Linked DNA regions of Arabidopsis thaliana. The protein of the gene in region 4 interacts with the protein of the main gene of each other region in a pairwise test. Each region holds a gene or a part of one and is shown on either strand. Other genes may lie near its edges. The genes, in order: AT2G27290, AT1G27290, AT2G22425 and AT5G43420.

Region 1 (8,121 bases), on a different chromosome or scaffold from region 4:
ATAGATATGAAAAAATCTAAGCTAGAAAATAATAAGATTTTTTCTCAAACAAATATGTTGGAATGCTACATTGCTTGATATGAAGAAAATTTGGTGTACAATATACTTTTTCATCTTATTAAAAGCAATACAATATTTTGGGTAATTCTTAAGATTTCGCCTTCAATATTAACTATATTGTAATCATCAAATAACAATAACCATATATAATCATAATTGTTGTAACCGTAATCATTTTAATCATAGATAGTGGTTAAAGTTAAGGTTAAAAAATTTTATAACTGTAACTGATGGTTAATAAACCGTACCCGTAATAACCGTAACCATAATCATCTTACGTGAACACTAAAATTTATATCCATCACGTTTAGATTAATCACCCATCTTTCGAAGCAAATAAGTTCCAATATGAGCTTAGAGGACATAAAACTAGTTTAGAGAAAGTTACACGGATACAAATTTGGATATATAGTTTAGTTAGGATATGATTTTATTGATTTTATTATATATTTTAAAAATAACTAAAACGTTAATGATGACGTAAGCTAATAAAGTAATAGATTAGAAATTGCAATAAAAAAATATAATGTATTTAATAAAATAGATTCATCGACAAAAAAATAATAAAATAGATTCATATAAAACTTGTATTACACAAAAGAAAATATCTTGGCGCAAGATAATAAAATAATTACAAAGTGATTTAAATTCATTTTGATTGCCGTCAAAAACAAAAATTCATTTTGATAAGTTATTACACCCAAAAAAACAAAAACAAAAACTTATTGGCATGCGGGGTACAAACACCGAGGAAGATATCGAAACACGTGTTTAAAAATGAAGAGACGATTTATTAAGCATCAATGAGAGAACTTCAGAGCTGGGTTTGAGTTCTGTCCAATAATACATAACCACGTTATCATTTTTGTCCTTTACTATCTCATTACACTCTTCTGTTATTCGCCCAATTCTTACAGTCATTGTCCACGTCATCCTTTTTCCCTCTGAAGCCGCCAAATATCAAAAAACACAAAACCTTTACCCGAAGCAAAGTAGCTGCACACTTGCCATTTATAAGGCATGTTTCTTCATCTAAAGCAAAGTATTTTCGAGTTCCTGAGCCAAAAAGATCAAACAATGTCTAAAGAAGCTGAGATGTCGATCGCGGTGTCGGCTTTGTTCCCTGGTTTTAGATTCTCTCCTACTGATGTTGAACTTATCTCGTACTATCTTCGTCGTAAAATCGATGGTGATGAGAACTCTGTTGCTGTGATTGCTGAGGTCGAGATTTACAAGTTCGAGCCGTGGGACTTGCCAGGTTTTACTTCGGTTTTCTTTCTCTTTATGTTTACTTTGGTTCACTAATTTGAATGTTTGTGCCTATAAAACAGAGGAATCGAAACTGAAATCGGAGAACGAGTGGTTTTACTTCTGCGCGAGGGGGAGGAAGTACCCGCACGGGTCACAAAGCCGGCGAGCCACACAGCTAGGATATTGGAAAGCGACCGGTAAAGAGCGGAGTGTTAAATCCGGGAACCAAGTTGTTGGAACCAAGAGAACGCTTGTATTTCATATCGGTCGGGCTCCTCGTGGCGAGAGAACGGAGTGGATTATGCATGAATACTGCATCCATGGAGCCCCACAGGTTCTTAAAACTTTCATTTTGAATAGGTTGAGTTTTAATGTTTTGAGATATATTGAAATTTGGATTTCACAGGATGCATTAGTGGTGTGCCGGTTAAGAAAAAATGCTGATTTTCGGGCTAGTTCGACCCAAAAAATGGAGGATGGTGTTGTGCAAGACGATGGCTACGTTGGCCAAAGAGGTGGTTTGGAGAAGGAGGACAAATCCTACTATGAATCTGAGCATCAGATACCAAATGGTGACATCGCAGAATCATCAAATGTTGTTGAGGTCAGCTTGCTTTTGAGGAATGTGTCTTTTAACGATGTTTAATACTGGTAAAATTATCCGCTCCAATCTTAATCGAAACCACATTAAATTCAATATAGTTCCGAAAACAGAACCGATTAAGAAACTAAAACCAAACCAACACCATAGTACCATACTATAACGGATTCATAGTACATTAGATTTCACTAAAGTTGTTATTTTACTAAAGCAGATTCTAAACTTAAAACGTAACAAACCAATATATCCAATGTTTGGTTTTTATTTTGGCTACTAATATTATAACTCAATAGACTAAACCAACACTTGGGCTGAACATCCTTAGTTTTCTTGTACTGGTAGAGTTTAGAGTTTGTAACTGAAGTTGATCTCTTTCTATTGCGATGCAGGATCAGGCCGATACCGATGATGATTGTTACGCCGAGATTCTGAACGATGATATAATAAAGCTCGACGAAGAAGCGTTGAAAGCTAGCCAAGCGTTTCGACCAACTAATCCAACTCATCAAGAAACAATATCAAGCGAGTCATCGAGTAAGAGGTCAAAATGTGGTATAAAAAAAGAATCAACGGAAACAATGAATTGTTACGCTTTGTTCAGGATCAAGAACGTTGCCGGAACCGACTCCAGCTGGAGATTCCCGAACCCGTTCAAAATCAAGAAAGATGATAGCCAGAGATTGATGAAGAATGTTCTGGCCACTACTGTTTTCTTGGCTATCTTATTTTCTTTCTTTTGGACTGTATTAATAGCTAGGAACTAAAGCTAGTTACGACATACATATTATTTATACATAAATAAATATAGTATTTGGTCTATGGCAATATGGCATGTTGAGCTAGTCTTAACAATTATTCAAACTTGTGTACAAACCAAAATTTTTATGGAAAAGAGAATATTTTCGGATAGTAAACCTTTATAATCTGGGTGAAAGCTTTGGGAAAGAGATGATAGTTCCGTGAAAATAGAGACAACAAATTTCACATATAGTAAATGTGAATAATACCACCATTTCCTTAAGTTTTGCTGTTTGTTGTATTAGAGATTGCAAAGTGATATTCTTAGTTATATACAATTGTAATAAATTATACAAAATCCATAAGTAAAATAAATTATTTTAGACTATGTTTAGATATACAAAAGTTTCAGTTCAAAATATAAACGCCTGAGAATCAAACAAATGTTGTTTGTAGTTTTTTATATTTATAAAATAGTCTAAAAATATTTTTCTTACTTATGGATTTTTTATACTATATTAAAGTTTTATATATGTAAAAGATTACTCTGGAACCTCTAATACAACAAATGGTATACCTTCAGAAAAAAATAAAAAATAATTGTGTGTCATACAATAAATAAAAATAATAAGGTGAAAAGATTTGCTTTCTGTTTTTTTTGGTGGCTGAAAAAAACAATGGCGATGATGCTTCTGCAAATTCCTCCTTCGTCTTCCTTGTTGAACACCAGAAACCTTCAAATCCGATTCTTCCACTCTTCAGTTTCAGCTTCCTCGAAGAAATTCAGATGCAGAGCCGTCCGTGAGAAGGCGGAGGACATTGATAAGAACATTTCGCCGCCGTCTTCTTCTCCTCCTCCTCCTTCCGCCGAAGAAGTTACCAAGAAATATGGCCTTGAAGTTGGTCTATGGAAGGTAAAATCAATTCGATTGCGCAATTTCTCGTTTTAATTCGTAATCTAAAATTGATGATTCTATCGCTATGGAAGCTTTAAGTGTAAGTAAAATAGTGTTTTTGGATGAACATGTGAGGACATATGATTGTTTCTGAGCTGAATGATAGGCTAATTCAGAGCAATTTTGGTATTAGTAGAAGCTATTGAAGCTTTAAGTGTAACTAAAATGGTGTTTTGTATGATTATGTGAGCAATTTTGTAGTTGTTGAAGCTATGGAAGCTTCTAAGGGTACTAAAATGGTGTTTAGATGATTATGTGAGTAGATATGATCGTTTTCGTGGTAGTTGTAGAAGTTATGTAAGCTTTTAACTATGCTAAAATGGTGTTTTTTTTTATCAACAAGTGAGCATATGTGATTGGTTAGTTTGGAGCATTTTTGGAAGTTGTAGAATCTATGGAAGTTTTTGTGTAGTAAAATGGTGTTTTGGATGGACTTGTGATTAGATATTAAGCTCTAAGGATGATGAAGGAAGTGATGGAGACAATAAGAAGAAGAAATCAAAAACAGATGAGGCTAAAGAGTTACTTGCAAAGTATGGTGGTGCTTATCTCGCTACATCTATTACTCTTTCTCTCATTTCCTTCTCACTCTGCTATGTCCTTGTGACTTCCGGTGTTGATGTTCAAGCTCTTCTTCTAAAGGTTACTACTTTCACTTCTTGATCATACTAAGTTTATGTTTTCTTGATCTTGGGTTGAGTAAAGCTGATTTTGATGTTTTGTGTTTAAGGTTGGGATTTCGACGAATGAGACAGGAGAGAAAGTAGGAGCCTTTGCTTTGGCTTACGCAGCGCATAAAGCTGCATCTCCGATAAGGTTTCCGCCTACAGTGGCTTTGACTCCTATTGTAGCCAATTGGATTGGGAAGAAAGTGGACAAGGAGAAGGATGATGACAAGTAGCTTACTTTGGAGGTATTATAATGTAGATGTTCTATATATTACTTGATAATCAACATACATAATCCTGTACAATCCTCACTTCTCTACCTTGTATGTACAAAAAAGATTGAAGCATATCTGAATATGATGATGAGTTAGAAAGATACAGAACCAAAGAGTGGCAGAATCCAAGTTGTGATATAGTTTTAGACTTGTCTATTTAATATGTGGTTGGTTGGAAATTACGACTTCACGATTCACTAACCTCTAGACATTTGGTAAGTGGGAGAAGTAGTTGTCAAATGGTTGGGAATGATCTCTGTGATCCAGAGCATATGACCTCGATCGTTTTGGTGATGCATTTTAACTTGTACTCTAGAACCTCATTATCTCGGCCCATCAAAATATGAAAACATTGGGCCGTAACAATTGGGCCGTAATCATCTATACCATCTATAGTTAATTGGATCTTTTTATCTCCTCCCTTCCTCTTTCACTTTCTTCCATGGATTACTAAATTCCTTAATCCTGGGAAAATCACACCAATCAACTTTTGTGAATTGTAACCCTAATCGATTCTACAGCGAAATCTACCTATTTCATGCTTGGGTTTGATTAGTGTTTTTCCAGAATCTGGGACTTCGCAGGAATTGCGCTAATTTTCAATCGATTTTGCAGAAGTTTGTTGCTCCTGGAATAGAAATCGAAGATGAAGAAGTACGGATTGCAAATCAGAGCTCCTTCCCAGAAAAAACAATCATCATCTCGACCTCCACTTCGACCCGCTTCAATATTTGATGAAGAAGAAGATCACGACGTCGAGAAGGAGATTTCTCGTCAAGCAACAAAGACCAAAGCTCATAAAGAAGTAAGCTTTTTTCCTCCACTGACTCGAGTTCTTGTTTCTTATATTTCCTTCAATTTGATCTGCTTGATAAGTGATTGTGTGTTTTAGATTGAGGAGCAGCATAAGAAAGCCTTAGAGGAGGATCCTTCTGCTTTTTCATATGATGAAGTTTATGATGATATGAAACAGAAAGCTGTTCTTCCTCGAATGCAAGATCGTGAAGAACGCAAGGTAATGTTTATCTCTTAGAGAGCTTAAGACTTGAAGCTTCTGTAGCTTAGGGAATCAAAATCTATGTTTCCATGTTCTTAAGAGGAATCTATGATCTGTGTCGGGCTTGGTTTATCATATGATTGAAGTATAGGAAGCCATAACTTAGCTGGATTTTCTTATTACCCTTAGAAACCACCAAAATCTTGATATCCTGCAATACCCTAACAACTACCAGCCTATAACCCATGGCTACATATAGTTACCAAAAAGTGTAAAGCTTAGTTACTTTGTTTTAGTTAAGTAGAGGTGAAGTTTCTGAGCCTCTACATGCGTCAGTTTTAGTAGTTTCTTATGGTGTTACATTCTCTGTAGTTGGGGCACTTTAATTAGGTTTCAGAATGACTTATTGGATTGCTTATGTTTCATTTAGTTTTCTTTTTCTAATTGCAGCCAAGGTATATACAGAATTTGATGAAACAGGCAGAACGTAGAGAGAAAGAACATGAGATAGTTTATGAGAGAAAGCTTGCGAAAGAGAGGGAGAAAGACGAACATCTTTTTTCGGATAAAGAAAAGTTTGTTACTGGCGCTTATAAAAGGAAACTTGAGGAACAAAAGAAATGGCTGGCAGAAGAAAGATTGCGTGAACTTCGTGAGGAAAGAGATGATGTAAGTTCTGTTTCCTTGTTCATTTTATTTCATGTTTGTGTTTCTATCTCTCTCGTCTATTAAACTAGTACTTGCTAGGATAGCTGAAGTCCTATCTTTGTCCTTTTACGTTTCTGTCTTAAGTAGCTTTGGTTTGGGAACTGTGTCAAGGTAGTTTGCATGTGGTGGCTTTTAGGACATGATGGGTGGGTCTAGAAACCATTTTCATGTCTCTGTATTAGCAATGGGGAGATATATAGCATATAGCTTTGGTAAAATTAAAGTGATTTGTTTTTATAGCTATTAATACTCATGTCAGCTCTTTTCCTTTGTTTTCATCTTCTGTTAGGTTACTAAGAAGAAAGATTTGAGTGATTTCTACTTCAACATTGGAAAAAATGTCGCTTTTGGAGCTCGAGAAGTCGAAGCTAAAGAGGCAGAGAAGCTCGAGGAACAAAGAAAGGCAGAGAAGCTCGAGGAACAAAGAAAGGCAGAGAAGCTCGAGGAGCTGAGAAAAGAAGTAACAAGGGTAGAGAAGAAACGAAAATCACCGGAGAAGGAAGTATCTCCTGACTCGGGAGAATTTGGATCAAGTCGTAGCAAAAGTTTGGAGCCACTAGAAGCAGAGCAAGCAGTTTCTGAAAAGGAGATGGGTTCAGATGGCACTGAAGAGAGAAAGTCATCAATCAAAGAGGCAGCAAAAGAAGTGCCGAAAGCCATTAACGACCAGAAGAGAAGAGAGGATGCGATCGCTGCCGCTAAAGAGAGGTTCCTGGCCCGTAAGAAGGCAAAAATTGAAGAGTATGTGCAACTTGGCTGATTTCAGTCCAATAGTTAAATCTTGGTGAACTTGTCTTCTTCTGATTATCGACCACCCTCTTTTTTATAAGTAACTTTTCAAGATAACGCTTCTTATATTACAGGGTCTACTTCCATTACAAATGCAATAGGTTTGATGGTTAATAAAGAAGAGAACGAACAAAGAAAAATCCCCTACGTTGAGATGCACATTGTCAGGGTCAGTTTAAATGTCCTAGTGGATCAAATTGAATGGTATATAGGAAAAAGTAAAAGTTAGAAAATTGAGGAAAAAGGAAACTTTGAAAGCTAGAATTTGAGGAAAATGGAAACCTTAGAAATTGGGATTTGACAGAGAATTAAATGGAAAGACCCAAGCATTGTTTTTTAGCCACTGACGACCAAAGAAATTCATTCTGATTTTTTATTCCTGACTAGTGCAAAAAATCTATAGCTATAAACGAACCTATTGGCGATTGATTCTGAGATGGAGGAGGCGAGACTCTCGACGTTACCTTTTAGTGCAAGTTTTAATCCTTCAAACCCATTAGGGTTTTTAGAGAATGTCCTTGACTTTATTGGGAAAGAGAGTAACTTTCTGAGGAAAGACACGGCTGAGAAAGAGATCACCGATGCTGTTACTACCGCAAAGGAGAGGTTGAGGGAAACGGAGAAGAAGACGGAGTCCATGGATGTGGAGAAGGTTAGACCCTCGACATTGCCGTTTAATGCAAGTTTTGATCCTTCAGATCCATTAGGGTTCTTGGAGAAAGTCTTTGAATTTGTTGGGAAGAAGAGCAATTTTCTAGTGAAAGACAAGGCTGTGAATGCGATCATCACTGCTGTTACGGACGCCAAGGAGAGGTTGAAGGAAGAGGAGAAGGAGAGTGTAAAGCAAGCAACAGTAAAGATTAAGAAGTACGGACTGCAAATTAGGGCTCCGTCACAGAAAAAGCAATCATCATCTCGACCTCTACTTCGGACTGCTTCAATATTTGGTGAGGATGATGAAGAAAACGATGTGGAGAAGGAGATTTCTCGACAAGCTTCAAAGACCAAGTCTCTTAAAAAGGTATGGTTATAAACATATAATTACCTCATCATTCTGACTCTGTTTCTTATGTACCCA
Region 2 (8,455 bases), on a different chromosome or scaffold from region 4:
GCTCTCCGATGACTACAAACAGGTCATTGACCAAATTCAAGGTCGTGAGGTACCTCCCTCTCTCACTGAAATTCACGAGAAGTTACTTAATCATGAAGTGAAACTTCAAGCTGCGGCATCGTCTCTTCCGATCTCTGCAAATGCTGCAAGTTATCGTCCTCCAGCCAACAACAAGCATAACAACTCCAACAACTATCGCGGACAAAACCGTAACAACAACAATCGTGGTGCTAATTCATACCAACAGCCAAGAAACGATCAGCCCTCTTCTCGTGGTTATCAAGGAAAATGCCAAATCTGTGGAGTTTTTGGCCATAGCGCTAGACGTTGTTCACAGCTTCAGATGTCTGGCGCTTACTCCACCCCATCTCCAAGTCAATACCCTAATGCTACTGTTCCATGGCAGCCCCGTGCAAATATGGCAGCCATGTCGTACAATCCTTGGCTTCTTGATAGCGGAGCAACACACCATCTTACCACAGATTTGAACAACCTTGCTCTTCATCAACCTTACAATGGTGGAGAAGAAGTCACAATTGCTGATGGCTCTACTCTTCCGATCACTCACACTGGTTCATCAACTCTCTCTACTCAATCTCGTTCCCTTGCTTTAAACAATATTCTATATGTTCCCAACCTGCACAAAAATCTGATTTCAGTTTACAAATTGTGCAATGCTAATAAGGTTTCTGTGGAATTCTTTCCTGCCCACTTTCAGGTGAAGGATCTCAGCACGGGGGCCCGGTTACTCCAAGGCAGAACTAAAGACGAGTTATACGAGTGGCCAGTTCCTTCAAACACACCCATCTCTTTATTCGCTTCACCTACACCAAAAACAACACTTCCTTCATGGCATTCAAGGCTTGGTCACCCGTCTCCGCCTGTTTTAAAATCCCTTGTTTCTCAGTTTTCTTTACCAGTTTCAAATTCCTCTCAAAAACATTTTCCTTGTTCTCATTGTCTCATTAATAAAAGCCATAAGCTTCCGTTTTATTCAAACACAATTATCTCCTACACACCTCTTGAATACGTTTACTCTGATGTCTGGACTTCTCCAGTTACATCTGTCGACAACTTTAAATATTATTTAATCCTTGTTGATCATTATACCCGATATACATGGCTGTACCCATTGAAACAAAAATCACAAGTACGGGAGACTTTTGTGGCGTTCAAAGCTCTAGTGGAGAATCGTTTTCAAACCAAAATCCGAACATTATATTCTGACAACGGTGGAGAATTCATTGCGCTACGACAATTCCTGCTAACACACGGCATTTCACACTTGACCTCTCTTCCTCACACGCCGGAACACAATGGAATTGCAGAACGAAAACATCGTCACATCCTCGAAACCGGGTTAACTCTTCTCACTCAAGCCTCTATTCCAACTTCATATTGGACATATGCGTTTGGAACTGCGGTTTACCTCATAAATCGCTTGCCCAGTTCTGTGCTCAATAATGAATCGCCGTATTCGAAGCTCTTCAAGACTTCACCAAATTACCTCAAATTAAGAGTTTTTGGATGTTCGTGCTTCCCATGGCTCCGCCCATATACCAATCACAAATTGGAAAGAAGGTCACAGCCGTGTGTATTTCTCGGGTATTCCTTAACCCAAAGTGCATATTTATGCCTTGATAGAAGCTCTGGTCGTGTCTACACTTCAAGACATGTCCAGTTTGTTGAGGATCAATTTCCTTTTTCCATCTCCGATACCCATTCAGTTTCTAATTCAAGCCCAGAAGAAGCTTCCCCTTCATGTCACCAACCCCCATCTCGCATTCCGATTCAGTCATCATCTCCGCCACTCGTACAAGCTCCGTCGTCGCTGCCGCCCCTAAGCTCAGATTCTCACCGCCGGCCAAATGCTGAAACTTCATCGTCTTCGTCCTCGACGAATAATGATGTTGTGGTATCGAAAGATAACACACAAGTGGATAACAGGAATAATTTCATAGGCCCAACAAGCAGTTCTTCAGCCCAAAGCCAAAATAATTCTAATCCAAGCTCATCCATCCAAACCCAAAATGAGCCCAATCCGAGCCCGTCACCAACACCTCAAAATTCTAGCCCAGAATCTTCACCATCGTCTTCTACCTCCGCCACGTCCACAGTCCCAAATCCACCACCACCACCTCCGACAAACAACCACCCAATGCGAACCCGAGCTAAAAATCATATAACCAAGCCCAAAACGAAACTCTCCCTCCTAGCAAAAACAGTTCAAACCCGACCTCAAATACCAAACACGGTGAACCAGGCTTTACGAGATGAAAAATGGAGGAACGCTATGGGAGAAGAAATCAATGCCCAAATACGGAATAATACATTTGAATTGGTTCCACCAAAACCAAATCAAAATGTTATTTCCACAAAGTGGATTTTTACACTAAAATATCTTCCTAATGGTACTCTTGACAGGTATAAAGCAAGATTGGTGGCTCGAGGTTTTCGGCAGCAATATGGACTCCATTACTCTGAAACTTTCAGTCCTGTGGTTAAATCTCTCACAATTCGCCTAGTTCTACAATTGGCAGTGTCTCGCTCATGGACAATTAAACAACTAGACGTAAACAACGCTTTTCTTCAAGGTACATTGACGGATGAGGTGTACGTCACACAACCACCTGGTTTTATCGACCCCGATCGACCACACCACGTTTGTCGCCTTAAGAAGGCGCTTTATGGCCTGAAACAGGCTCCACGCGCTTGGTACCAAGAGTTGAGAAATTTTGTTTGCTCGTTGGGATTCACCAATTCTCTCGCTGATACATCAGTGTTTGTTTACATCAACGACATCCAAATCGTCTACTGCTTGGTCTATGTTGATGACATTATTGTCACGGGAAGTAGTGATGCGTTGGTAATGGCTTTCATCACCGCTCTTTCTCGGCGATTCTCGTTGAAGGACCCGACGGATTTGGTATATTTTCTTGGTATAGAGGCAACAAGAACCTCACAAGGTCTTCATTTGATGCAGCATAAATATGTTTATGACTTGTTGTCTAGGATGAAGATGTTAGATGCCAAACCGGTGTCCACACCAATGGCGACACATCCTAAACTTTCACTCTACTCTGGCATTGCTCTAGACGAACCCGGAGAATACAGGACAGTGATCGGCAGCTTGCAATACTTGGCGTTTACACGACCGGATATTGCGTATGCTGTGAATCGATTATCACAATTTATGCATCGTCCCACAGACATTCATTGGCAGGCTGCAAAACGCGTCCTTCGATATCTTGCGGGAACTGCTACTCATGGTATATTACTTCGCTCAAACTCTCCTCTCTCGCTTCATGCATTCTCCGATGCTGATTGGGCTGGGGACAATGACGATTTTGTTTCCACCAATGCATATATTGTGTATCTTGGCTCTACACCCATAGCTTGGAGCTCGAAGAAACAAAAGGGAGTCGCACGTTCTTCCACCGAGGCCGAGTACAGGGCTGTTGCAAACACAACTTCAGAAATTAGATGGGTATGCTCTCTTCTTACTGAGTTAGGCATCACATTACCAAAGATGCCTGTGATATATTGTGACAATGTTGGTGCCACATATCTCTCTGCAAATCCGGTTTTCCATTCAAGAATGAAGCATCTAGCATTGGACTATCATTTTATTCGCGACAATGTGAGTGCCGGTGCACTACGAGTCTCTCACATATCAACACATGACCAACTTGCCGATGCTCTAACCAAGCCATTGCCTCGTCAACACTTTCTTCAGTTTTCAAGCAAGATTGGAGTGAGCAAACTCCCTCCATCTTGAGGGGGCATGTAGAGTATATAAGTAAAGGATAGTTTAGTAAATCATTAATCCCTAATTCATTCTAATGTAGTCCCTATATATATTGTAATTATATCATCTAATGAATTATTCAGCCTTCAATACTATAGTTTGATCATGTGCTTACTTTCCCTTCATTTGCGATACTTCAAGGTTCTTGCTGCCACTGTTTCTTTGAATGCGTCACATGTTTGAACATGTGTGTTCTTTTTGGATCGAAGCTTAGCTCTTTAGATGGAACTGAATAAGTAAAAGAGGTCACTGGATAAGCTCTGTTACTAGAATAATAGGAGGGCTTCTGCTTCACATTTGTAATCCTCTCTCTTTCTCTGAATTGATGTTGCAATTGCTTGTCATCAGTATCTGTATTTCCATAGATAACTGAACTCATTAAAGGGCAACCGAAGCTGCTTCGTGGTTTATGTTTCTTCTTTGTGGGCTATTTTGCTTTGCACTTTCACTTGTTTCTTAGTTTTGGTTTGATTTTTCATACTGGGCCCTGAGCAAAACAATTTTAGTTATATGACTTGTGAAACTTAAATGGGTTTTAATCGAATGGTAACTTCATCTAATTTGTTTGAATAATTCATCATGGACCTTAATGATAATATCTTGAGTCTACTAATCATTTCACAAATCCTTTCATTTTCCAACAGCAAGTAGCCTGATTTTTGAACCTCAGCGATAGACAGCTTAAAGTGCGGTCATTCTCGCAAAAAGCTATCAGTCTTTATTTGATTCACGAACATTATACACGAAAGTCAAAATTAAATAACCAAAAAAATTAAACAAAAAGCAAACAAGAAAACGACTTCTCTGGTATGATTGGAACAAATTTAATAGAGAGAGAGGTTAGATAAGAATGTGGTAGAAGATAAGACCCAACTACGCGTCATAACTGGGTCCCATCTTTGTCTCTTTCCCTTCTTCACTCGCCAACCCCATCGCGTGTCCCCACGCTCCTTCCCTTTACTTTTTCTCGTTATCCAAAACACGACGATTCTTCATTTTAGATTTTTTTCATTAATAAAAAAAAAAAAGTCTTTTATTGCAGAAATTTCGATCGTTTTTGTTGTGTGTACAGAGAGATTATCGTGTTTTGTTGGCAATCGCCATTAAACCTTCTTCCCTCTAACCCAATCAAATTTGCGGCTCTTTCTTTTATCTTCTCGCCTCGGTTTTAGCAAACCCTTTAGTTATCTTCTTCCTCAAGCAATTTTTCTTTTGGATTAGATTGGTGTTTTCTTTTGGTTTGTGTGGTGATGATGAGAAGGCAACGAGATGAACAACAATCTAGGGTTTTCTACGATCTATCATCTCTTGTTTTGAATCTTCTCCGTTCTCCTCCTATGCCGATTTCTTTACCTGATCATTTCCCCGATCCGCCCGCTAGAATTCGTCCTCCCTTTTCTTCGCATCGTTTTTCGTCTTCTTCGCCTTCTTTGGCTCATATTTCTCCGTCTGGATTCGCGTCGTTGCTGCTTGGTATATCTGTGGCTCTTATGCTATGTGGATCTGTGACTTTCTTCATCGGGTTTCTCTTGATGCCTTGGGTTCTTGCTCTGATTTTGGTTTTCTATGTCGCTGGCATCGTTTCTGCCATTTCTATGGTCGGGAGGTCGATTCTCTGTTACGTCTTGACGCCACCTTCTCCTTCCGGAAAGGAGATTTCTGGTAATTTTGTTGAATTTTAGGGTTAAGTTTGTCAAATTGGTTTCAATGATTCAAGCTTTCTACTTTCGTCTCGGATCTGTTTAGATTTTAACCAAAGTTTCCTTATTGATCATCTAGAAATGATTCCACTGGGTTTTGGTTCTGTCCTTATTTTGATAGAAATGGAGGTTCGAATTAGGGTTTTATTGAAAAGCACACCGATGTTTGTTCTGTCTTTGACTGAAACGATATTGTTCTTTTGTTTCCTCGTGGATCATATTATTCATGTTCACATTACTTTTGTTGTCTGAAATTAAACCTATGTTTGTATTAGTTTCATGTTCTTGCAATAATGTTTGTGTTTGACATGTCTATTCGCAGAATGGAAGCTTCTGTGAAATGATTAAACAACAGAGGTGAAGAATCTATACATCATCCGGAAGCAGAGCAGAGCGAAGCAGAACAAAAAAAAGAAGAAGAAGGATTGATTATATAAACACATATATCCGATAGAGTTTTTCTATGTTCTTTATCTGTATTTTGTTGGGGGGGTTTGGGAAAATCATGTGGATATCAGGGAGTTTTATATTTCTTTACATTTCGAAAAAAGAATTTTTCTATTTAACTACTGTTAGAAATAGAGAAGCCTTGTTATTTGTGCTTTCATGTATGTCGTTTTTATGTAACATGATCATTTCTTAAAGCATACAAAAAGATTTTAGGATTTCTGTTGCACTTCTTTCGATTTCCTTGCATTTTCGAAACACTCTGTGTTGATATCTCTTCCTTTAAATCTTCTTACAATATTTGCTCATTCTTGATCTCTTTTATGGTTTTAAATAATTGTCTCTTCAAGTTCACACGGAATCTAGTGTGAATCGAGGTTTAGTCGTGCAGAGTTGTGTGTGTTATTACATGTTTTATTATTGTTTAAGTATATTTATTTAGTGGAGGACTATACGCTATTTGCACATCTCAATGTCAAATTGCTCAAAAATGGTAGAGGTGCCGTGCCGTCAATAGATGTCACGTGTCCTGACTTGCCTTCTCAATACAAACAAAAATACTCTCTACCTAAAAAAACACAATAAACAACAAACGCATCTTTGGAGCGGCGGTGAGATTAGAGAAGAAGGGTTTGTGAAATGGAGTCCAGTGAGGATGTGGAGAATCTGAGTAGAGCTATTGAGAAGCTTCTTCATGAGAAGAGGAAGAGAGAAGCTTCTGGTGACGCCTTCATTGAAGACGCTGATGATCAGCTTTTCCTCTCTAGCCTTATCTCTCAGGTACTTTACCATCGCTCTGTTTTCTCCTTTGTTGATTTATCTGATGTTGCAGCCAATCAACTTTCTGGGTATATGATTGAATCATGAGTATTTGAGTGAGTCTGTGTAATTGTTTCGCTGTGATGTGTCTGCTTCGATTTTGATGAGATCCAACAAATACAAGCTTATCTTCATGATTGTGTTTAGTTGCTGTTTCATGTCCACAACATTATTTGTATTGGGATGTGTCCATTTCAGGCTTGTGCTAATTTTTTTGCCAATAACTTAGTTGGAATCACCAAACCCCAAGGGGAAAGAAGATGTCATAACCGGAGAAGAAGAAGAAAAAGAAGAAGAATCTGCAGATTCTTCACCATCCAAAGGAAAAAGCGAGGGCCAGAGACAATTGGAAGAAAGTATAGAAGAAATAGCTAAAGACATCAAGAAGGTGAAGAAGCAGAACAAAATAACCCATGTACTTCTCTCGGCTACGATCATCCTGACATTGGTTTGGCAGCTCTCTGAGTACTCCATGATTTTCATGTTGAAAGATAGAATAAGCCACCCAGTCAGATCCATCGGAGGTATGCTTAATGGAATGTTCAAAGGTAAGTTACGTCCAATCAAGAACCAACTTGCGGGGACTTCCAACTCCAATGACCAAAACAACCATGGGAATGGATCACACACTGGACCTCAACTTCAAGTGCCCGAGCTGTTGCGAGAATTCGGTTTCGACGATGAAGAATGATAGCTTCCCTTTGTGACTCAATAATACCAGTTGTTATTTAGGAACAGGGGTCACCCTCATTGTTTCTTTGCTTTTAGTATAAGTAGTTTACTTTTATATGATCAAAATGCGAAAGAATAGTTGCTTTCTCAAACTTTTCCACATGAAAAAGGGTTCCAAAAGAGAACCGTATTTCAAAAAATCTTTTGTTTTACCCTTACTGAATCATGGTTCAGTGCCCGAAAACAAAAGGAGTCATCTCAAACAAAGTAACAAATAGCTCCATTGATTAAAATAAAAACAGACAGCAAACCACCTGAAACAAAGCTTAATGTTCCAAATCTAAAACCAACTCAAACAGTTTTTGAATAGTCCCAAACTTTCCACCACTCTCTTTTCAGCTTCCAATAATGGTTCCATGTACCTCTGGCATCAAATTCCTCAGGCATAGTTCAACCTGAATATGTCATTGAACACGTAGTAGTTTCCCTGATTCGATATCAAATGGAACATCTGGACACAAAACACAAGTATGTCAGGAATCAGGCAAAATCCAAACAACAAGCAGTCATCAGATTTATGTTACAATCATATAGTGATCCAGTGCGTGATTCACAACACAAGAGATGCATACGTAGCTCATTACAAGTAGGTCAAGTTGACAGAAATTCATCCCACTTTGCTCTATACATACATTCCACAAGTTTGATGTTCATACAAATATGATAACAAAACACAATTAGTACCTTGATATGAAGAACTAAAATGACAAAAACATCTCTTATCGAACAAATCTAGTAAAGAGCGTTCAACACTAAAAAGAGAAAACAATGTCTTACGGCAGATGATACAAACACTGCAAGCATCTCAAACTATTTAGAGTTGAGACAATTTAATCAAGAAGGTGGCATATCTACAACTACAACAAGATCACATATGAGCATAGTTGAAAAAAACTAGCAGAATCATGGCAAAGCAGTTTCCCAATACTACATTCACGAAGTGCAAGGA
Region 3 (7,712 bases), on a different chromosome or scaffold from region 4:
AACTTGTATCTAATTAACACATAAAAAAACAGCATGGTTACTGAAAAGAAAGGGAAACTTAAATCTAACACAACATGTCAAGTTGTCAACGTGTATGCAAATGTTTACTGGTAATATGATTTTCAAAGAAAGAAGTCACGCCCAATATGAGCGATGAAGGATTTTTAGGTTCGGTTAGAACTTAGAAGTGGATTTAAAAATTAAAAATTAAAATAAGAAAATGATGCTTGGAAGGTTCAAAATATTTACCTTATGAGAGATGAAGGATTTTACCACTAGTCCAATGAGGTTTTAGTATAAATCGACCGCTTAAAACTACATTATAACTAAAACCATAAAACTAAATTTGAGTCTGGTAGTAATCTTAAATTTAGTGTTACAGTTTTGTGTAGATTATTTTTTCGTTTTTTTCTTGAAGAAAGCTTTAATTTTTATCAAAAAAAAAGAAAATACATTTATAGAATTAACAAGATATTTTCGTCCAATCGGATTATTACTTAATTACAAATTTTGCATTATGCTATAGTTAAATTAAAATTTGACAGTTTTAGTGTACTTATTTGCAGAATAAGATTTCCAAATATTTTAGACACCCGTGTTTTCGAGGGCCCGCTTGTAGAAAATCAAAAGCTCACAATAGCATCGATGGTGAAACGTTTTCAATATTTCAACTAATATCATATAGTAATATTTAAAAAAGCATATTGTCCTAAATTTTCAAAGATGATTGTATATTTTATTCAAAGATAAAGATATACAGCTTTGCAGTCACATTAATTTATCAAATTAGAAAATTTGAGATGTGATCGTACCAATGGTCTCTTTCAAGACTTTTAACTCTGAAAACTTTCAAAATTCTAATTTGGGAAATTTAGACTTAGTTGCAAATATTCTCTAAATTGCTTAATTCACAGTCAATTTTCATCGAATTTATTTTTTTAGTTTCTTGTTATTTAATATACAACTCAATCTAAGTTAAAATACAAAAAAAAATGATTAATCACAAAGTTTAGGTAAGTGTTAAAAAAAATTGAATACGATTAGTAAGACCCATTGAAGGAGACAGCTTATACGGCTCGTATCGGCTTAAAAGATTAGCTAAGTATAGTATAATTTGTCTTGTCTCGAAGTATATGGCACGTGTCGGTTATTGCAAGTGGTCCAGAGGGAATAGAACGAGTCAGCAATTAATGGGACCTATCTCTTTTTTTGTTTGCAGATATTCAAAGTCAAAAAATTCGGCCTTTTAATAAAAAAAACATTTTTGGCCAAAAAGAAAACTTTATTGCTGGCTAAGAAAAAAGATAAAAACTTTATCATATGCATGTGTCTTTACATATGCACACAACCAGTTTACTTTATATGTAGAGATTTACTAAGAGTTAGACGTGATTAAATTCTTTCTACTTTTTTTTTTTTACTTTAACATCCAATATATTTTTATCAATTTAGTTGTATAATTCCACCGCAAATTCAGTATTTTAACAAGTACTATACATTATAGAGAAAAGAAGAAAGAAGAAAGAAGAAGAGTCGCTGTCGCTCCGGTGAGGATTTGTCTGAGAGCGGCGATGTCTCGTGCTTGAGAATGCTACTTCCCTTTGCTGTCTCCATCAACACTTCCCGCTTCCCACACGCCACGCCAATATCTCTCTTTTCTATCCGTTGATTTCTTTGACTTTTCCACCTCTTTTTTATATGCATTTTAAAAAATAAAAAGAACTTACAAATTTTGTTTACTATCTTGCGGAAAAAAGTATAAACATATAAAACAATTACAAAATTGAATTTTTTTATGTTTTCACTTTTCACTGGTATCTTAGGTCAGATTCTGTAAATTTATGTATCTTGATTGATTATCGTTTTCTTAATTGTTATATCAATACTTATGCTTAGATTTACGTATAAACTACTATAATGTATAATCTCATCGAAGTTAGGATAAGCATATAGATATATTCGTCAATCCCCAAAAATGCTTCGATGGTCAATGTCTCACAGTCTCAGTGAATGCAACAAAGTTACTTAATGAGTGAATAACACAGAGGACAACAGAAGATCTACGTTAAACACGGATCTAGTAAACGTGTCTATTATCTCATGAATATATCAGTCTTGTAAACTTTTTTTTTATATTAATTGTGTGTGAGAAATCACAAAACCTTTATTGTGTTGAATGTTGGACACAAAAATGTGGTATCGTAAAACAATTATTTGATGGGCTTTAAACAGGCCCTTTCATATTTATTGATGGGCTGAAGCTCAAATAAGATCCAAATGAACAGACAAAACCAAACAGAAAAGACTTCTCAATGTCCAATGAAGAATTATGGAGTCAACTTGTTATGTCTTGCGTATGTTTCCCAAATTTTCTTGTCCTATTCTCTTATGGAGTATTAGAGTAATATGCTTATTGTATGGTTTTTCAGGTTCACAACCTTTTACCCAATTCACACAGAAACCTCTTTTCTTGACCACATTGGTAATGACACTAGCCGAGCATTCAAGATATACGTTTGTCATATATACCTTGTATTTGATTTTGTCTCTAGAGTTGACTAGTTTCTTACAATCACTGAATTTTCCTCTATTGTTTATCCACATGATGTATTTTTTTTGCGATACCATGTAGATTTTGGCTATTGCTACTTCCGGAGAGCTCTCTCTTTGTTTGTGAATTTGCTTCATCCTTCTGGTGAAGGTATACTTTTCATATCCTCTGCTTCTTCCTAATGCTGACCTAACTAAACCACTCCTTTTTCTCCACAGCTCATTTACAAGCATCCTGCCAAATGTTGGTTCTCTCAAATTCTGATTCCAAACCTGTACGCGTTCGCTGATTCAACTGTCATTTCGTTTCATAAGCCTATGACCTACCTTTAAGCGTTCGCGTTCGCCAGATGACTCGAATCTCCCGGAATATGAACCCGTGCAAATCCTCTGACCAGCGACTAGCGGAACAGTTTGGAATCACACAAACTATTTCTACTTCGACTCAAGAAAATAAGAAGGAGCAAAGCATCAAAGACTAGCATTGGTTTTTGCACACAAGCTTAACACAGAGTGTAAATGGATGGTGTGATATTTATGTACCATTTTCATAAAAACTGAGACTTTTGTGATTCATAAGACTTTTTCATCTAAAACTCTCTGATGATAGATAATCTACACAATTCAGTGAAATTGCCAGATTACAGCCATAGCCATTGATTCAAAAGCAAATTCCTTTGGCAAAAACAGATAATTATAAGAATCAACCCAGAATATTCAATTCATAATTAAGATTCCGATCCACAAATATCTCATACAAACAATTCTGAGAGAGAGAGAGAGAGAGAGAGAGAGAGAGATTCAGAATCAGACCTATTTCTTAGAGAATTTCTTCTTCGAAGCAACACTGACAACTTCTGGTTTGGGATGCTTCTCGGCTTCGCTCGGATCTAACCATTTGAGAGGATGAAGATTGTAGAAAGGCCAATTAGGTACAGTAACCAAAGTCGTGAGAACAACACCACCGGCATAGATCAGCATCATCGTCCTGAACGATTCCGTTGTGTAGCCAACAACCACCGCTACAACGCCGGAGATCACCAGTAAGATCTGCATCAGCTGCTCCACCAGTTTCTGTCCTTGCCAATCCATTTTCTTCTACACAACGAAATCAAAAACCATTAGCGATTTGAATCCAAAGTTAAACAAAAGAGAGAATCTGAGAACCCTAATTGCACAAACCTTTAGCGATCTGATCTCTCACTGAATCTGTAAACCTGATTTTCAACAATGGGGAAGAAAAGAAAGGACTCTTGACATTTATGAGCTAAGACCACAAAATCGGTTTAAAAGTAAACCGGATAAAGTGGACGGTCAGATTACTCTATAACCGGGTGAACCGGCGGTTTTTAATGTGCCTTAATTATTTCGAGATTTTGTATATGTGCAAATTCTGAAACCTTGAAACAAGGAATATTTACATTTAAGTTTCTTTGTGTGTACCTCAGAATTAGAATGTTGCTACTTGTCCAGTCCATAATTTGTTTATTGGGACAACAACTTCAGTGATTAGATAATGTTTACTATTTTATAGACTGGTGTGACCAGATTGTAGCTTTAGCAGTGACCAGTATTCATAAACCAAAATCAAAGTTTTGGAGAACCAAGATCCATGGCATGTAGCTAAAAAGATTTGCATCAATTTAGAAGTCATAATTAAGATTTCTTCTCTTTACTAATGATAATTCAAGATACAAGCAATACATCAATAGGCCTTCTATTAACAACTCTACAATTAAACCTAATCTCACCAGGTCTCCCAGATTGCAAATCACCCAACTTCACCATGCCTTCTGCAAAAGCCCTAAAGAACTCATCTTGATCCTCACTAAACATCTTCACATACTCTCTCGTCACTAGATTCGTGTACAAAGTCTGATCAGAGTTAAGAAACCCTCTCCCTGAAACCAAGTCTTTGAAATACTGATTATCAAAAACCTGAGGTGTTGCATCTAGATCTCCAGTCACATTCTCATCTCCACCCAAAGGACAAAGCTTATCAAGCTTCTTACGGTAACTCGGTTCAAGAGCTGGATCCGGTTTACCAGAACCGGATTGGTTATAAAGTCTGAACATGATTGAAAAACACCGACCTTGACCTATTGAGTGTGACCCTGATAAAGCAACCATGTCTTTTACAGAAAGATTGAATCTTTCGAAGAGATCAATCAAGAAAGTTGCGTTGGCTCTTGGACTTGGCATTATATCGTCGGAATCTTGCTGACTCGCTGTTAAACTGTCTTTCCTCCCTAGCTTCACTTCCCAATCTGGTCCTCCTGTCTGGTTTTTTCAAAGACCAAAATTACAAAACCGAGATTTCACTAAACCGGGGAAATTGAATTTTGACTTACAAGAGCAACGGCGTCACGAGCGGCCATGATAACGATATCGGCACAAGAAACAGTAGCTGGACAAGCTTTCTCTAGAGCTTCTTTAATGTCGTCAACGACTTCGAAAGATCTTAGTGAATCGATGTTGGAAAGTGATAGTTTTTCACCAAGCATGTTTGGTGTGTCGTCAAGCAACAGAGATGCGTCACATCCCTGAATTTGATGATTCAAAGAAAAATTCAGAGAGGAAAACAGAGTAAAGATCAAGAACAGAGAGAAAGATTTATAGTGTTTACATTGACGAAACAGTCGTGAAATTGGAAACGCATGACGGAAGCGACGCTTCTTGCTTCTTTGATCATTGCTTTCTTCATTTCTCTTCTTACTATGGATTCAGCTTCAGGGCATGTCTCGCTGTAGAATCTTGGTCGGAGAGTTTCTCCAGTAACAACCACCGTCAAAAGTGTTAGGTAGAGGATGAGATGGGGAAGAAGAGACATACTTTTTTCTTTTTTGGTGTTGTGTTTCAGTGATTGAAGAAGAAGTAGAGACTTTGTTTGTTGGGTTATAAAGAGGTTTTTGGTGGTTTTCGAGAATGATACTAAAGGCTTTTGTGTTTATAGATGGAATTTGTGCAAGTGTGGTCTCTGGTGGTGGTGGGCATTCCAATTTCTATAATTTATTTCTTTAATAAATAGAAATAAATAAATAAATAAATAAAGAAATAAATTTTCTAATTATAGAATTGGTGCCAATGGGGGATTAGTGTAGTAATTTGGTAAAATTATGGGTTTGTGAAATTATTGAATGATGAATCTGAAGTAATGTTAAATGTTTGTTAAGTTTGGATTATTGCAGTGTATATTAGCTGGCAAAAATAAAGAAGATAAAAGGATAATTGATCAAATTTTTTTTATAAAGGTGTGAAACTTTTGTACGTAATTGTTAAAATTGGTAAAACATCCATTATACAGTATTTAGATGAACAGTACTACTCTCTTTGTTTATTATTGTATTTTGTAGGAAATTTTTTTGATTCGAAAAGATAGTCATTTTTAAAATTTCTATGCAATATTTATTACTAGTTATTATTGATGTGTAAACTTCAAGAAGAATAATATATTTCTAATCAACTTTTAATATGTTTTTTAAGATGTGTGAAAATCCTAAAAATACATTAATAAGAAACATCTTATGAAAAATAATTACTATTAAAAACATCTTAAGAAAAATCTAAATATATATTCATAACATACAAAAATAATTACTACTCCATATTAATAAGATACATTAATACTAATAGTGATTATTTTTGTATAATATGAATAGTTAGATTTTTGTTATTGTATTCAACAACTAGTTAAATATTTATACAAGAATTTTGTTTATGTAACGTATACAAGAAATAATGCTATAATTAATACTATTGATAACAATAATGAAAAAATTGTACTATTTATGAAATGCGAATGATCTAGCTAGAACCAAACATTAATCCTGGTCAATGTTCATAATCAAATAGTGTAACTAACACACATTTATTGATAGGCTTTTAAAGGTCACGATGAATTTGTGAGTGAATTATTCAACTCTTGATTTTAAACCTAACGTATGGTCAAGGCACTTTTTGACTTTGTAAAAAGCATACAAAACCTTATCTTCACATTCACGTTGGTTGGCCAAATAATTCATACTATATTTTTTTTTACAAAAAAGCATGCATCTTTTATTCATTTATTGTTTAATACTTTAATGTGATCAGTGTCGTCGTAGTGCTCAATGCTATAGTTACTCTACGGCTAATAATTTAAGGATAAAATTAATAAATTAAGATAAAAAGATTAGCAATATAATTCTAAATTATGCATAATTTACTTAAAATTTAGATGTCAATTTTTGTTTTGATTTTTTGTATTTTGTTATATAACAACACTTTAGTGGATAAAATATTATAGTGAGTTGGTGTCTTGAGATAAGAGAATTGTTGTGAGAAAGGGAGGCAACAATTTCAGGCCATTGGTTCATATTTTTTAGCAATCAAACAAGAAATTATCTGAAACTCGAAAAGTGACTGACACTACGGAAGTCGTCATCATCATGACCTTGCGTTCTGAAACTCTAAAAGGTACTGATACGTTGCCGTTTTTAAGAGATTATGTTGTCCCCATCTTTAGTTGTCAATTTTTGGTTGAACCAAAAAAAGAGGTTGTCAATTTTCGTATGCAAATTTATTACACTTCGGAGAAACGGTCACAATTAATTAATACATAGGACTCGGAAGGTATCTAGTTTCCTAAGAAATTTATAGAATTCGAAATCAGGAAATGGGACGCACATGGAGGTCATTGTATTTGAGGTTCACCAAACCAATCCTTACCAAAAGAAGAGAGGATATCAATAAATATTGACCCACATTTTAATTCATTAAATATGGGTTTTTTAATATTCCTTCCGTTTAATAAAGAGTATCATTTTGACATATTCACACAATTTTTTTTAATTATGTATATATTTGTTTCTGTTTAACAAATAATAAATAATTTATTAGTTTTAGGTTAATGTTAAATCAAAAAAACTCAGTGTATAAATCATGTTGAAAAATGTAAAATGACACTCTTAATGTTACTATGTTTTTATTAAACTGGCCAATTAATACACAGGAGATGTCATTTGAGTTTTTTTTTGCCCTCAAACCCATTTCTATACTAGTTTAGACCAAAGATGCCTTAATACAAAACTCAGCAGTTTCATTCAGTCCCATTAGTTATTAGTAATCTCATATTCCGAAAATAGTACACTCAACGAGCTCCTCATATGCCTTCCAAGACAATG
Region 4 (8,559 bases):
TGTGCAACTAAAAATGGTCTTTCCTCCTTTACTTGAAATCAAGCAATTTGCCATTTTATAAGTGATGGTCAATATATTGTAGAATTTGACATGTTGCACACGCTCAAAATGCAGTTTCTGCTTCCTCCAAGGATCAGTTGCACACTACGCTACATCCTCCTTTGTATTACTTTCCAAGCCACTATGTAGTATACTTGGAAAGAACGGACTGACATCACTCATCAAAATACACAACACTCAATCAATCAGCTCACTAGGTCAATGACAAAACAATTTGGAATTGAATTACTACTGGAAAACACCTCAAACTTCAAGTGATTCTTCAGCTATGGTTTTGAGTACACTTACGGCTACTTGTGCTCTTTTTTTTTTCTCTTTTACCTTTGTTTTGCTTCGTAGTCTCTTTGGAAGTATTTTTTTTTAGATTCTTTTTTTCTATATTCTCCTCTCTCTTTTTTGCACCCATGTAAATATTCCATTAAGTAACCCTAATTATAACACTCGAACAAAATAAAATAACAATACGTCCTATACTTTTTCACATTTGTAAATCCTTATACGGAATTTACAACCGGTCTCTTTTTGAATGAGATTTCAATGACCATTTCAGGTTTATCTCAATTACAGATATTTTTATAATAAATGGATAGCCAATCTCCTTTTTTGTATGATATTACGTTGATTAAAAGATGATAAATCTTTTCCACCGAAATTAAAAAAAAAAAAAAAAAAGAATCAAAATTCACCGAGTTTGTTAAACAAGGAAGTTTTGGACCTTACACATTCGATACAGATTCTTGAACGCTTACATTTTTGGTTAATGGCTATGAATAGAAAAAATATCTCGGCCCATATAACTCAGATGGATCTGCGAATTACAAAAACCTAAGGAAAAGCCTTTAGCATTGTTCATTAGCAATTAATTCGAGCTAACATGCATGATAAATGTCGTCATTGAAATTTTATTTCAAGATTTTTGATTTGAAGATATCTAACTTGTTCTTGTTTAAAATTGATAGGAAAATATTACGTACCTATGTTTCATAATTTCATTCAAGTGTCATTTGGAATTTACACATAGTAAATATATTTTTTTTTTTTTTTGATTATACTATTGATGACTACATCAATACATATTTTATTCAATTTAATAAATTGAAATAATATGTAAAAATATACATTAAAAATGCAAAGCAATACTTTTTGTAATAAAAAAAAACAATCTTACAATGCGTTATTATAAAAATTTAAAACAAAAGAAAAATCATGAGTAATCAAATCGTACTTTCTACGCACGTGATAACACATGTGCTAGTTGACCGGCTTAGGGTTTTAATCTTTTTAATCTCACTAATCAGTAATCACTGATTACCTTCCTTTAATTACAATTTTATTTTATAAGATTAATGTAACTACTTAACTAGATATCCTCAAATAAAGAGTATATATCTCTCGTGTGTGGTATGTGACTGTGTGTATATGATCGGATGTACTCACGTGACACACCAGTGATCACGTTCTAGTTGCTACTAATTCCATTCATTTGCGTATAAAATAAACGTCAAACCAAACGCAAGTCGTGGAATGATGATACCATAAGTCCCAAGTCAAAGTCAATTGGGATTAAAGTCAAAAGAAGATTTAGTTTGACTTTATCAACCATTTGTTACGCGTGGTTCCTAATAGATAACGTTGTAATTTCTTATAAAGCAAAAACATAAGCACATAATATTAATACATGTAGGATTATGCAATTTCTAACAATAAAGAGATCAAATTGTCTAAATATGACACATATCATATAGGATTATACAGTTTTCTAACAATAAAGATATCAAATTGTCTAAATATGACACATATCATATGATTTATCAATGAGACTCGAATTGAAATAACTCTTGAAGTACATTCACTATGCTACTATAAATATAGAATACTTTTTTTTGTTCAAATAAATATAGAATATTTACTAATTCATATTTCAGAAGTTGTAATGTGGCAATCATCATGTATATTATATTATGGTAGGGAATTATCAAGTGAATTTTCTTCTTCTTCTAATTAATTAATGTGTAAAGTATGGTAATATATAATGGCTTTTCATGACGTTATTGGAAAATACTTTGACAAATTTTTCGTCATAAAAATTATTAGCGGTGAAAAAATCACACACCAATATTTTTTTTTGCTAAAGAAATCACACACCAACTATACAAAATGAATTCACGTAGCTTCGAACACTTTTATTTTATTTTCTTACCAGATTAAAAAAAGAAACACTATTATCTATATTATTTGAAATGTAGACAAATAAAATTATAAATATGTCATGACTCATGAACAAACCAGTGATACAAGGGCAACAATAGTGAAATGAACCAAGTTTATGATAAACAGATTTAGTCCTCTCCATGTGGATTGTAGCATTTGCAATGAGCATGAGCATGAGTTGTAATTGATGAAATTTGTGCAGTTCTCTGGATTGTAGCATTTGCAATGAGCATGAGCATGAGTTGTAATCAATAGTACAAAAAAGACACATGTAGCTATGCCTATATAATAACACGTACATATAATTTGTTTACCAACAAATGTTTGATGGAATATTTGTATACATCATTATATAATATTTATCTATTATAGTTTTTAATACGTATGGAAGGTACACAATTTTATTTATTCATCTCTATTTAAGGGGGAAAAAACATATTCCCGTTGCCTAAGTAATTTGCATGCAATTTTAAATCCTTTGCTAGCCAGCCTAAGCCGATCCCGAGGAAAGGGGCTAGGTTTAACAGTTTTGGTAGTTGTTCACAAATAAGAGAAAGTGAGAAACAATGATATATTACGACTCTCCTTGTCACCTTGACTAGTGTGAAACGAACGAAACAAAGATTCCGTTGCCAAATTATTATATAAGCAAAAGTTTAAAACTATTCTTTTCATTTCATTTTAAAGGTAGGCGTAGGCCATCAATTTTTTATTTATTATTATTGTCTTATGTGAAAAAGATACTAATTATTGAATAATATAATTACACAATCGTCAACATACACACACGAATACACGATAGACTACGGAAGCAGTGTCGGTCCATATTCTATTTCATTCTTTCTTTTGCTTTTTGTGGTGAATGTAATAGAAAATATGGTGAAAAATCAAAAAGGAAACGAAAATTGGAATCGTGTGTAAGATTTGACTTTTCTTCGGGATTTTTCCAAAAGGAACTAGGCAATTTTATGGTCTTCCATTTTATACCCCACCATGAAAGTTACTTGAATGTTTTCTTATCGGCATCATTGCAGTAATTACGAAAACAAAAGAAAATAGTTTTCATATATATTTTTCTTAAAAGTTATAGTATCCGATGTTTAGATTTTTGTTTTATTTTCCAATACGCTTATGATATATAAAAATACTATTGATGTAGCAGTTAATTTAAAATGATTTTTCTTATGTTGGTTGTAATAAAAATTGAATTTTCATATAAAAAACATCATAACTATTCGTTTTTTTATTTTTTTTTTATTTTTTAACACTCTTCGTTTGTTGGTGTAAGAGTATACTTTTTTCTTGTCAAGATGAATTGAGCAAGATATCAAAAATTTATTAAAGACAATTGAAATCAACAAAAGTTATACCAAAATGATATTTATCTTGCAGCTCAATTATTAGTAATTTTTACATGCAGTGTATGTTGTATATTTACTTAGTTTTGGTGTATACATATTCAAAAATTTACATTCAAATTCTAATATAGTTATTGTACTAATACAAAGCAATAGACTACACATAATATCATCAAAACTTGGTTCTTCGGCTAGGTACGTATACATAAATTACCGAAACAAATGTCAGTTGCGGAGGCTCAAGGGCTTCTACATGGACAATGGACTGTATTCAAACATTGGATTTCAAGAATATCATCTTTGAAGTAGATTGAGTTGTGTTGGTTACATCAAGGTTTGGATCGAGTTACGATATCATTCAACTCTAAAATTTTAAGTAGATGTATCACTATTTGATGGTTTTGAGTGTGTACCAAATAAGCCGTCTCAAAAATTCGGTGAACAATGTTGACTTTTAAAAAATGCCATCTCATTTACTTAACTAAGCATCAATATGAAAATATAGTTTGCATGTATAAATGTATTATAGTATAAGCTATTATGTGAATACAAAGGTATGGTGGAATGCATGTGCGCCTTTACTTTTTATTTTTTCCCTTCTTTTATTGAATTTGTAATTAGCAATGATTAATCTATGTTGACTAGAAATGGACGTGTTATAAAAGTCCTACTAAACTTTTTATTTTAAAACGTTTCCAATCATTAGTCTATGCCTCAAATAAAATTGTAAAATCCTAATTTTAACCTCTTCAATCATCTTCATCTCTTTAAGCTTTTATTCGTCGTACCTATATATCATATTAGCTATAGACTAGAAACGATATAATCGAATTGGATACTTACTTATTTTGTTGTTAAGATGAATTGGATGTTTTTTTTTATACTGTTTCTGATGAATTGGATGATTAACCAGTCTCACGTTGTCATAAATAAAACAAAACTAACCGGCCACTCTCATCATTTAAGTTATTTTATAATATAAAATATATATTTTTACAAAAAAATTCTTAAATAGTATGGGTGACAATTAATAGTTAACAAAGAAAAACAATTAATAGTTCTTAAATTTTGGATGACAAAAAAAGAATGGTAACATATAACCCTAACGTATTTTCAAAGTTGCGTTTTTGGTGAAGCTTATACTGTATACAGTACTAGAAAAACAATTTGAAATGATCAATATTTAAAAGAAGAAAAAAAATGTGTACGTGAGATTTATCTGAAACTTGAAAGATTCTATAATCGGTAACCTCATTACTACAAGAAAGTCTACAACTAATTATTAAATTGCAACCGACAATCATATAGTGTTAGATCATAAATCATATTCATAAACAAATATATCGATTTTAATAATTGCTAAATGGTATGTTTTAGTGACAAAATTTATATCATCATTACATCGCATTAATTAAAATTTCAAATTTATATCTACTTAGACGAAATTTCACTATCAGAAAATATCAAATCAAAATGAATAACAAGAATCAAAAGCAACATCACTCCAAACCCAAAAGGTACGTAGATAAAATTATATAATCATAACAATCAATGCAAACAATTTTATATATAAAAAAATCCTAGTTAATGCGAATATATGTCAGGTTTTTTCTTAAATAAAAAAAGTTCCCCACCACTAGTACATAAACAAACAAATTTTCAATTTTCCCACCAATCAAATTTAACTTGTATATTCAATTCTACTTTTAAATCTTGATATAAAAGAATTCTTGTAGTAAACGAGTCACACCGATCAAGAAAAATATTAATATAATCATATAAAGAGCCCAAGAAATCTCACCGAACTTTCATTTTACTCAATCCCTCTCTCCTCTGTTTTTCTTCTATACCAATCTTCTTTCTTCAAGAACTTTCAAAGTTTACTCTTTAGTTCTCCATTAGAGGATGAGATTCTTCTTATAAGTCAGATAATGGATCTATCAAACCGTCGCAATCCTCTCCGGGATCTGAGCTTTCCTCCTCCTCCGCCGCCACCTATTTTCCACCGTGCGAGCTCTACGGGGACGAGTTTTCCGATCTTAGCCGTCGCGGTGATCGGAATCTTAGCCACAGCATTTTTACTTGTAAGCTATTATGTTTTTGTTATCAAATGTTGTCTCAACTGGCACCGAATCGACATTCTTGGTCGATTCTCGTTATCTCGAAGGCGACGCAACGACCAAGATCCTTTAATGGTTTACTCTCCAGAGCTTAGAAGCCGCGGTCTTGATGAATCCGTCATTAGAGCAATCCCAATCTTTAAGTTCAAGAAGAGATACGACCAAAACGACGGCGTTTTTACAGGAGAAGGAGAAGAAGAAGAAGAGAAGAGATCTCAAGAATGCTCTGTTTGTTTGAGTGAGTTTCAAGATGAGGAGAAGCTGAGGATTATCCCAAATTGTTCTCATTTGTTTCATATCGACTGTATCGATGTGTGGCTTCAGAACAACGCCAATTGTCCTTTGTGTAGAACTAGGGTTTCTTGTGACACAAGTTTTCCTCCGGATCGGGTTTCTGCGCCGAGCACTTCTCCCGAGAATCTGGTCATGTTAAGAGGTGAGAACGAGTATGTGGTCATTGAGCTGGGCAGTAGCATCGGTAGTGACAGAGATAGTCCAAGACACGGAAGGTTACTTACGGGACAAGAAAGGTCAAATTCAGGTTATCTACTGAACGAAAACACCCAAAATTCGATCAGTCCATCTCCGAAGAAGCTTGACCGCGGAGGGCTTCCAAGAAAATTCCGAAAGCTTCACAAGATGACGAGTATGGGAGACGAATGCATCGACATAAGAAGAGGTAAAGACGAACAGTTCGGTAGTATTCAGCCCATTAGAAGATCAATCTCAATGGATTCATCGGCGGATAGACAGCTTTACTTGGCGGTTCAAGAGGCGATTCGGAAAAACCGCGAAGTTCTGGTGGTTGGAGACGGAGGAGGATGTAGCAGTAGTAGTGGCAATGTTAGTAATTCCAAAGTGAAGAGATCTTTCTTCTCTTTTGGGAGCAGTAGACGTTCTAGAAGTTCCTCTAAATTGCCACTTTATTTTGAACCCTAATAAGCCGCTTTGCTTATTTGTTTTATTTTCTTGTTCCTTTCTACATTTGATTTCTATTATTTCATTTTCAAATATTTTTGAGATGGATTTTTAAAATTATTTGGTCGGTGAGGTAGGAGAGAATATAGACGTGTTTAGATTTAGAAGTCAAAAAAGTTGAGTTGTATTATGTGTGACAGAGAAATTATGGACAAGTTTGAAAAACTTAAAATTATTTCTTTTAAACATAAAACTCATGGAGGGCTTCACACTTCTACGTCAAAATCTCCTCCTCATATAATCAATGATATCCAAATTACAAAGAAACCATAATCTCCTTGAAAACATCTATCTGATGTTTTTTGTTGTGTTAAAGCAAACATCATATAAATTCATCTTGATTTGGATAGAACATTCAAATGCCAAAACGAAAAATACCATCCATGATTTTTAAGGATTTAACAAACTTGGTAAGTCTCTTTGTACTAAATCAGACTTTACTAGTGTTGTTGAAGTAATGGACTCTGATCCACTAAGACCTATTATGGTATGTTGTATTGTATGACCCATTTTTTCAATTATTTTTTTCGGCCTAAACCAGCCTTTTACAGAAGCAAAAGGAAAAACTGAAACCCGAGACATCTAAACCGGATTAAACCGAATACCATGCCATTTCTTTTTGATGAGTCATCATCACCATCCTTTAGATCCAGAAATCAAAATTGCTTACTGCTTCATTTGTTCTGCTGTTCCCGGCCAATGAAGATTCTCGTCGCCGTTAAACGTGTCGTCGACTACGCCGTCAAGATCCGAGTCAAACCCGATAAGGTACACGCATAACCCATCTCTAAATCTCTCTGTAACCATTGAATCACCGTTAAATTTGATTCCTTTATCGTTGAATCAGACTGGTGTAGAAACCCAAAATGTGAAGATGTCAATGAATCCATTTTGTGAGATCGCGCTTGAGGAAGCGCTTCGAATCAAAGAAGCTGGTTTTGCTAAAGAGGTTATTGCAGTGAGTATTGGACCTTCACAATGTGTGGATACACTTCGTACTGGTTTAGCTATGGGTGCTGATCGAGGAATCCATGTTGAGACCAATTCTATTTTTCTTCCTTTGACGATTGCTAAGATCTTGAAGAGTTTAGCTGATGTTGAGAATCCTGGATTGATTTTCTTAGGGAAACAGGTATGTTTGGCTCTGATTTGCTTGTCAAGTTTTGAACTTTGGTTGTGTATGCGTCAAATCTCTAGATCTTGTTTTAGTGTACTGAATCTTAGCTAAAGTTGAGGTTTTTCAGGTTTTAGAATGCAAAAGATTCGTGTTTTGACTCGTGTGTTGTGGATTGTTTAGGATGATGAACATTGATCTTTGTAAATTCTTGAAAACTGTCTTAAAATGTCTTGAATAATGTTGAGTTTGCATAATGTTTTGATGAGGTTTGATGTGAAGGTTACTGATTTATAACGTTATTTTTTTTCTGTAGGCGATAGATGATGATTGCAATCAAACAGGACAGATGGTTGCAGCTTTACTTGGTTGGCCACAAGCAACGTTTGCATCGAAGGTAACAGAGTAGTTCCCTCGACTACAATCATATGTTATCTTTTGTCTCTGCTCTCCAAGTTGTGAGTAGTTTTTTATGTGCTCTGCTCATTGTTGTTTAGTAGGTTGTGTTGGATAAAGATAAGAATGTTGCAACCGTGGATAGAGAAGTGGATGGAGGTCTTGAGACTCTTAATGTAGACTTACCCGCTGTGATAACGTAAGTTCTAGATTCTTAGATGATTGTGTCATGATCTCTCTCGAGTTGAGGTTTATATATATGCATCAACTAACCTGCATATGTCAATTTGTTCACTGCATTCTTTGTGGAACTTTTTTTGTG

What was found.
Region 1: the proteins of AT5G43420 (region 4) and AT2G27290 interact in a protein complementation assay, tested with the Arabidopsis thaliana proteins (one large-scale study listed by BioGRID).
Region 2: the proteins of AT5G43420 (region 4) and AT1G27290 interact in a protein complementation assay, tested with the Arabidopsis thaliana proteins (one large-scale study listed by BioGRID).
Region 3: the proteins of AT5G43420 (region 4) and AT2G22425 interact in a protein complementation assay, tested with the Arabidopsis thaliana proteins (one large-scale study listed by BioGRID).

What each region holds. Positions count from the first base shown.
Region 1 is NC_003071.7:11,674,972-11,683,092, reverse strand, and holds AT2G27290 (FAM210B-like protein, putative (DUF1279)), read left to right. Parts: upstream 1-3,173; 5' UTR 3,174-3,327; coding exon 3,328-3,564; intron 3,565-4,050; coding exon 4,051-4,248; intron 4,249-4,336; coding exon 4,337-4,507; 3' UTR 4,508-4,788; downstream 4,789-8,121. Other genes in the region: NTL8 (NTM1-like 8), read left to right, coding at 1,138-1,318, 1,392-1,645, 1,718-1,915, 2,302-2,676; AT2G27285 (nuclear speckle splicing regulatory-like protein (DUF2040)), read left to right, coding at 5,196-5,354, 5,442-5,564, 5,997-6,215, 6,544-7,014; AT2G27280 (coiled-coil protein (DUF2040)), read left to right, coding at 7,480-8,064.
Region 2 is NC_003070.9:9,476,730-9,485,184, forward strand, and holds AT1G27290 (uncharacterized protein), read left to right. Parts: upstream 1-4,675; 5' UTR 4,676-5,058; coding exon 5,059-5,470; intron 5,471-5,830; coding exon 5,831-5,847; 3' UTR 5,848-6,263; downstream 6,264-8,455. Other genes in the region: AT1G27300 (uncharacterized protein), read left to right, coding at 6,595-6,735, 7,004-7,465; NTF2A (nuclear transport factor 2A), read right to left, coding at 7,886-7,957.
Region 3 is NC_003071.7:9,511,009-9,518,720, reverse strand, and holds AT2G22425 (Microsomal signal peptidase 12 kDa subunit (SPC12)), read right to left. Parts: upstream 4,027-7,712; 5' UTR 3,733-4,026; intron 3,649-3,732; 5' UTR 3,643-3,648; coding exon 3,364-3,642; 3' UTR 3,047-3,363; downstream 1-3,046. Other genes in the region: AT2G22426 (uncharacterized protein), read right to left, coding at 1,492-1,704; AT2G22420 (Peroxidase superfamily protein), read right to left, coding at 4,237-4,830, 4,902-5,093, 5,177-5,380; SLO1 (SLOW GROWTH 1), read right to left, coding at 7,641-7,712. UniProt on the Arabidopsis thaliana protein: Component of the signal peptidase complex (SPC) which catalyzes the cleavage of N-terminal signal sequences from nascent proteins as they are translocated into the lumen of the endoplasmic reticulum. Dispensable for SPC enzymatic activity.
Region 4 is NC_003076.8:17,446,230-17,454,788, forward strand, and holds AT5G43420 (RING/U-box superfamily protein), read left to right. Parts: upstream 1-5,258; 5' UTR 5,259-5,560; coding exon 5,561-6,688; 3' UTR 6,689-6,895; downstream 6,896-8,559. Other genes in the region: ETFBETA (electron transfer flavoprotein beta), read left to right, coding at 7,334-7,495, 7,575-7,859, 8,158-8,238, 8,342-8,436.